Macaca fascicularis: one gene and its partner. The protein of the gene in region 2 purifies or fractionates together with the protein of the main gene of each other region. This does not show direct contact. Links are inferred from orthologs where the notes say so. Each region holds a gene or a part of one and is shown on either strand. Other genes may lie near its edges.

Region 1 (3,652 bases), on a different chromosome or scaffold from region 2:
AATACACATTAAAATATGTAACTTTTAAAATAAAAGATGGGCCTGGCATGGTGGCTCACGTCTGTAATCCTAGCACTTTGGGAGGCTGAAGTGGATGGGATCACTTGAGGCCAGGAGTTCAAGACCAGCCTGGCCAACATGGTGATAGCCCATCTCTACTAAAAATACAAAAATTGGCCAGGCCTGGTAGCACATGCCTATAATCCCAGCTACTTGGGAGGCTGAGGCTTGAGAATCTCTTGAACCTGAGAGGCGGAAGTTGCAGTGAGATGAGATCATGTCACTGCACTCCAGCATGGGGCGACACAGGCAGACTCTGTCTCGGAAGAAAAAAAAAAAAAAAAAGAGTAACTTAACATCAATTGATTAGGAAACATAGCTCTAAAGCACAAGGAATTAATTCAGTCTTAAGAAAATATAGCTTGAGATCAAGAGACATGTAAAAACTAACTTCTTTCCCACAAATAATAACCTCATTTATTACATATATATGTTTCCAAAAAATGAAGGAATTAGTAGCAAGAGCAAATTTAATAAACTTTCAAGGAAAGTTTTTTTTATCTGTTACTACAACAAAAAAAGTGTGTCATCTGAGAAATCACAGTTGTTTAGCTAAGGGCACCATCTACTGGAGATAACAGTGACCTGACGTACACTTTTTAGGATAACATGTACTTTATTAAGTCACTTAATTACTTTTCCATCGTAATTATTTCCTGGTATAAAATGTGAAGAAAATTACTACCGTTTAACACAACCAATTTGAAGGCTAAAATTTTACAATTTCATCCCCTTCAAAACTGAAATTGAGAACTATAACACAAACTATTTTATATATAAAAGGTACAAAAATGACAACTGAAATCAGCAAATCATTTGATAATTATGAACTTACCTGGTAGGTGTTATAGTAACAGATGATACTTTTATTTTTTGAAAGTCCAAGTTTGCTCCCTTGGTCTGTTGCCAGGGCAAAAGTGGATAAGAAACCAGGTCGCAAAGCATGCTCCGGAGCATTGTCATTGGCCACTAGAAAAATAAGTGATTTAAATAAAAATTATGCAGAGGATATGATAGAGAGATTTACAGCCCTTTTTCATAAACCTCTGTTTAAAACTGAGCACAAAGGTTATGTTTCACAATATTGAAAATCATATCACTAATGGGGTCTCATCACTAATCAGGAAAAATTGCTCAGTCAAAAGTTCACTGATCACAATAGAAGAAATGCTGACTCTCACAATTTTTTTAAATTTTAAAAAGAAAATTAAATGTTTACCTTTTCTTGATATCTAACTTAAAACATAGATTAATCAAGCACATTTAACTGGTTATCTGAGGACTAGGTTAGAATAAACTAATGAAAAAAGTTACAAAACTTCTGCTCTTATAAAACCCACAGCAAGGAATATCTCTCATAGATATTAGCAATCTGCAGCTAGTTACCTGTTTCGTGTTTCTCTCACTCATTAAAAGGTCTGCATGGAGTTTGTTGTATTAATGAGTGCAGGGCTCAAGGCTTTAACACAGATATCCTCATGAAGAACATTAGAACTGGAAAATCTGAGATTATTTTGTTCAAATCCCTCATTACAGAATTAAGAGAAAGCAAGTAATCTGTCCACAACCATTCAACGACCATTTTATAGTGAGTTAGAAAGCACACTGGACCACACATCAGGAGATGATGGGTTCTGTTACTGACTCACGCCCGACTTTGGACTGCAATGTTTGAAGATTATAAACCACAGGACCTCCTTTGTTGATATTCCATGTTCTTATAATGTGTTTGTCAAAATTCTCCCAGAAATGGAATCAATGTCTATTATAGAAATGTTTATAATCTTTACAAATTCATGCAGTTTATTAATAAGAATCTAAGACACAGCTAACTCTCCACTGAAACTGCTAATGAAGTCCAAGTGTCTTTGCACTTTATTACCTTCACTTATAAAATGAAAGAACTAAATCACTTGACTTCTAAACCTCCGTTCATTTCTAAAGTCTAAAATTATCTGACATATATGACAACTCCAGGTGGAAAATTGTACACGAAATATACAGAACATTATCCAATCTTTAATGTTTGATAAAGCCATTACAGTGTCCCAAAAAAACTAGGAACATCCATGCTCATAATACCATAAAATAAAAATAGTAAAAAATTGTCTGAATCCATACTGACTCTCTGTGACATCATGTTTACTTATGATTCAAATACATGGGTATTATCCTAAAACAACTAGCAATTTGATAAAGTGTGTGTGTGTGTGTGTGTGTGTGTGTAATGTAGGGGTGTCTGTGTGTTTATCTAGCTGCCTACATGCTCACTCTCATCACTTAGATTTACTAATGGTTTACATTGCACTGTAAATGTCTTCAACGGGAAATGGGTCTGTGATAAATCCATGCTTAAACTCTAGATGTTAACATGATACACCTGATATATAATACACTGTAGATTCAAATTCAACCTTCAGCATACAAAAGCAAACACTTCCGCCAATACTAAGACCACCATCTCCTAAAATTTACTAAAATGAATTTTAGATGTTTGCCTGCTGTACTACTCAGATGTAAATTACACGCATTTTTAGTCAAAAGCAAAGAAGATATTTGCATTTAAATGTTCACTTTTACCTTTAATAACAGGTACTCCATCTCTATCTGATACAACAATGGCATGGAGCCCTTCAACACTAGAAAAAGAAAATAGTTAAAATATAAAAAAAGTTAAAATATAAAATATTTCATTTTCTCAAACTATACACCTCAAAGACATAATAATTCTCATGTATTTTCTGAAAAACCACAGGACCCCAAAATTCTCCCAGAAATGGAATCAATGTCTATTATAGAAATGTTTATAATATTTATAAATTCATGCGGTTTATTAATAAGAATCTAAGACAAAGCTAACTCTCCATTAAAACTGCTAATGAATGATCAGTCCATGGTTTACAAAAGCATGAAAGATTATCAGCAATGGCTGCAGTGACAAAAAAGAGCCTTCTTCTTTTTTCATTCATGCAAATATTAAATGGCCGGTGTTTGTGGCACTTAATACTTTGATACTATGAAAAACAGAAATAAGCACAATCATTGCCTTCACGTGGCTTCCGATCTAAAAAGTGAGTGTGTTATCAATAATCTCACAAGAACAAACGTAAAACTAAAATTGGGGGCAAGTATTGTTAAAAAGTTCATAGGGGCCAGGCATGGTGGCTCACGCCTGTAATCCCAACACTTTGGGAGGCTGAGGCGGGCAGATCACGAGGTCAGGAGATCGAGACCATCCTGGCTAACACGGTGAAACCTCATCTACTGAAAATACAAAAAAAAAAAAAAAATTAGCCGGGCGTGGTGGTGGGCACCTGTAGTCCCAGCTACTCAGGAGGCTGAGGCAGGAGAATGGCATGAACCCGGGAGGCGGAGCTTGCAGTGAGCTGAGATCGTGCCACTGCACTCCAGCCTGGGCAACAAAGCAAGACTCTGTCTCAAAAAAAAAAAAAAAAAAAAAAAGTTCATAGTGATATGAGAACCTAGAAAACAGGAGGTTGATGCAGACAGAGAGTGGACCAGGGAAGGCTTTCTGAGGCAGTAATATCTCAGCTGAGATGTTATGGTATTAAGTGAAAAGACGTGGAAAGAC
Region 2 (3,752 bases):
TTAAAGTTTTTTTGTTTTGTTTTGTGTTTTTTTTTTTGAGACAGAGCCTCACTCTGTCGCCCACGCTGGAGTGCAGTGGTGTGATCTTGGATCACTGCAACCTCCGCCTCCCAGGTTCAAGCAATTGTCTGCCTCAGTCTCCCAAGTAGTTGGGATTACAGGCGCCCACCACCCCGCCCAGCTACTTTTTTGTATTTTTAGTAGAGACGGGGTTTCACCATTTTGGTCAGGCTGGTCTTGAACTCCTGACTTCGTGGATCCACGCGCCTCGGCCTCCCAAAGTTCTGGAATTACAGGCGCGAGCCACTGCGCCCGACCTGGATGAAAGTTTTTCATAGGAAGTCTTGCTCTGTAGCCCCGGCTGGTGTGCAGTGGTGTTATCATAGCTCACTGCAGCCTCAAACTCCCGGGCTCAAGTGATCCTCCAGCCTCAGCCTCCTCAGTAGCTTGGACTACAGCTGCACACAACCATGCCCAGCTAATAGAGATGAGAGTCTCACTATGTTGCCCAGGCTGGTCTCGAACTCCTGGGCTCAAGTGATCCTCTTGCCTGGGCCTCCCAAAATAGAGACTACAGGCGTAAGCCACTGCTCCTGGCCCGAAACAGTGTTTTTAAAGCTTTAAAAAATATGCCAATATGGTGAAAACCCGTCTCTACAAAAATACAAAAAGTAGCCGGGCATGACGGCAGGTGCCTATAATCCCAGCTACTCTGGAGGCTGAGGCAGGAGAATCGCTTGAACCTGGGAGACGGAGGTTGTAGTGAGCCGAGATCGCGCCACTACATGCCAGCCTGGGCGACTGAGGGATACTCCGTCTTAAAAAAAAAAAAAAAAGTTCCCAAGTCTAAAAAAAAAAAAAAAAAAATCAATCTGCTCTCAAAAACTGTTGCAACAATATACAATCTCATCAGCACTAAGTATCCACTTCCTTGCACCCTTCTCAGTAGTATTACCATTAAACAAACAAACAAACAAAATATATATGTGACAGTTTGTTGGGCTCAAAGGAGTCTCTCGACAAGTTTCCTATCCCCCCACGCTGCCTCTCCTCTGAACACAGGAAGGGTTCCTTTTCCTTATTTATTTTGTTATTTCATTTCCATCAACACGACTCGGCTTGGGGACAGGGGTCGGGGGCAGGCCAGTTACCGCAGAGGTGGAGGCCGCGCAGCACCTGGCCTGGAGGAGCTCACCACGCAGCGACATAGACCTCTTCCCTGCTGGTCCACCTGCGAGCCTTGGGGCGATAGAGGGCGCCGTGGAGCCCGCAACGGAACCCGCCCCCAGGGCAGCGCGCCCCGCTCCCGTGACGTATTTCCGCGTCATCTGCCGCCGAGGCTTGCCCCCATTGGTTGTCTGCGAGGCAATAGGGGCGGAGCCGAGTGGGAGTGTGGAAAGCGCCGCATCCCGGGTGGGGGGCGAGGCTTCCCCTTCCCCGCCCCTCCCCCGGCCTCCAGTCCCTCCCAGGGCCGCTTCGCCAAGCTGCTAGGAGCACGGCGGCGGTGGCGGCACTTTCTCCCGCAGGAGCTGGAGCTGGGCTCTGGTGCACGCGCGGCTGGGCCGCCCGAGCCGGAGGGACTGGTTGGTTGGGAGAGCGGGAGGGAATCCCGGGCTGCCGAATCGCACATTCAGCCCGCTCCGCTCCTGCAGGGCAGCCGTTCGGCTCTCTGCGCGCGGAGCCGAGTCCCGGGCGGGTGGGGCGGGGGTCCACTGAGACCGCTACCGGCCCCTCGGCGCTGACGGGACCGCGCGGGGCGCACCCTCTGAGGGCAGCTCCGGGGTTAGCGGCCCGGACCTGGTCCTGCGCAGCGGGCGCGGGGCAGCGCAGTGGGAGGAAGCGAGAGGTGCTGCCCTCCCCCCGGAGTTGGAAGCGCCTTTCCCAGGTCCAAAATGCCCAAGAAGAAGCCGACGCCCATCCAGCTGAACCCGGCCCCCGACGGCTCCGCGGTTAACGGGACCAGCTCTGCGGAGTAAGTATGGGGCGGGCGGTGAACCTCGGGGCCCGGCTGGGGAGGCCCGGGCCGGGGAGCAGGAGCGCGCGCCAGGCTCCGCTCTGGTTTGTCACGTACGTCTGGGACTGGCAGGGGGCGAGGAACTCCCGGCCGCCGAGGTATCGGTGACTAAGCACTGATTGTGCTTCTGACTCAGACCAGTTAGCGGATCCCGCGGGTCTCGATTCCCCTCTGCACCCCTTTTCCCGACCGTTTCAGTGGTTCCTGGCCACTGTGCAGTCTTCTCCCAAGAAAATAAAAGCTAGCACGTCTTCCCTGCCTCCCCCCAGCTCTGTTCTAAATGTGATCCTCTGGGAGTCTGGCCTGTAATGGGGAGAGGAGGCTACTGTTTTGGAAAGAATTAAGATCGCATCCGTGCTTTTGAGACCGGCTCAGGGTATTAAGTGTGGAGCATCATCCTCACCTTCATGCCTGACACCTGTGGGGTCTGAGTGCCTTGTTGCAGGTCAACTGCCTGGCCAGCGGGGGCGTGCTGGAAGTCCGTGTGGACTTCGTGGCTTTTCCTTGCCGACTTTGGAGGTTCCCGGTCCTTGGCTTTCCTGGGAAATTGCTCAAGAAAGCGGCTTTCTTTTTCATCCGACTCTTCATTCATTCATTCATTCATTGAACAAACCATTTTCTCACTAATGATTTCCTAGCTTTCCGTACTTGACTAGGAGCCCCTAAACTCCTGACCTGAGGCATAAACACCATGACCTAGAAACCACATGCTAGGTGCTCCATCTCTGCAGCTTCCAGCGTTGCTCACAAACGAGCACTTTATTTCATGAAATAATCTTGAGGCTGTTTCCTGGGGGTTTCTGAGTTCCCACAACTCTCTTGGGTTCTAGGTAAGGTACAAGACTCTGTGAGGGAAAGCTGCTTGGCTAGCTAGAGAAATAGCCAGAAAAGATTAGGTTATTATTATTATTATTTGCCTTTTTTTAGTTGTTGTTTGCCCAACCTTCAGTAAAGATTAGGTTCTTAATCTCTTTTTACCTGCACACTGCAGGCTTTAGGAAGCTAACTGATGAAATCAGGGTAGGCTTGGACCTTCTGCTCTTTGGTGATTTCTGTAACCTCCCTTCCTTTCTCTAGATTTTTAGAAAATTTTATTTTTTAAAATTTTATACAGATAGGGTCTTGCTATATTGCTTAGGCTGGTCTTGAACTCCTGGGCTCTAGCGATCCTCCCAAAGTGCGGGATTACAGGCATGAGCCACTCTGCCCAGCCAGCTTTCTCTAGATTTTAATAATCTGGGGACCTGTTGGCTTGATGACTTGTTCCATCCTTGTAATGATCACAAGGTCGATGGTGGACCCATGGTGTGTGTTCAACTGTGTTCTTCAGACCTGCTCCCAGCCGACTCTCTTCCTTAGTCCCCTGTCAATCCTGTGGGGTCTATTTTGCATGATACTGACTTGTATAGGTAGTTGGATTGCATTATTGCATTGCAAACATTTTTTTTTTTTTTTTGAGTCGGAGTTTCACTCTTGTTGCCCAGGCTGGAGTGCAGTGGTGCGATCTCAGCTCACTGCAACCTTCGCCTCCCAGGTTCAAGCGATTATCCTGCCTCAGCCTCCTGAGTAGCCACCACGCCCGGCTCATTTTGTATTTTTAGTATTTTTAGTAGAGACTGGATTTCTCCAGGTCATTCAGGCTGGTGGCAAACTCCCAGCCTCAGGTGATCTGCCTGCCTCGGCCTCCGAAAGTGCTGGATTACAGGCGTGAGCCACCGCGCCCGGCCCATTTGTTCAG

Evidence for each region. The genes of interacting proteins can lie anywhere in the genome.
Region 1: the proteins of MAP2K1 (region 2) and LAMTOR3 purify together in Homo sapiens (affinity purification with western blotting; 3 studies listed by BioGRID, with this or other methods). This does not show direct contact. The link is inferred for Macaca fascicularis from reciprocal best matches to the Homo sapiens genes MAP2K1 and LAMTOR3.

The regions. Positions count from the first base shown.
Region 1 is NC_088379.1:105,526,563-105,530,214, forward strand, and holds part of LAMTOR3 (ragulator complex protein LAMTOR3), read right to left. Parts: intron 2,700-3,652; coding exon 2,641-2,699; intron 1,030-2,640; coding exon 896-1,029; intron 1-895. UniProt on the Homo sapiens protein: As part of the Ragulator complex it is involved in amino acid sensing and activation of mTORC1, a signaling complex promoting cell growth in response to growth factors, energy levels, and amino acids.
Region 2 is NC_088381.1:43,043,496-43,047,247, forward strand, and holds the start of MAP2K1 (dual specificity mitogen-activated protein kinase kinase 1), read left to right. Parts: upstream 1-1,439; 5' UTR 1,440-1,892; coding exon 1,893-1,972; intron 1,973-3,752. UniProt on the Homo sapiens protein: Dual specificity protein kinase which acts as an essential component of the MAP kinase signal transduction pathway.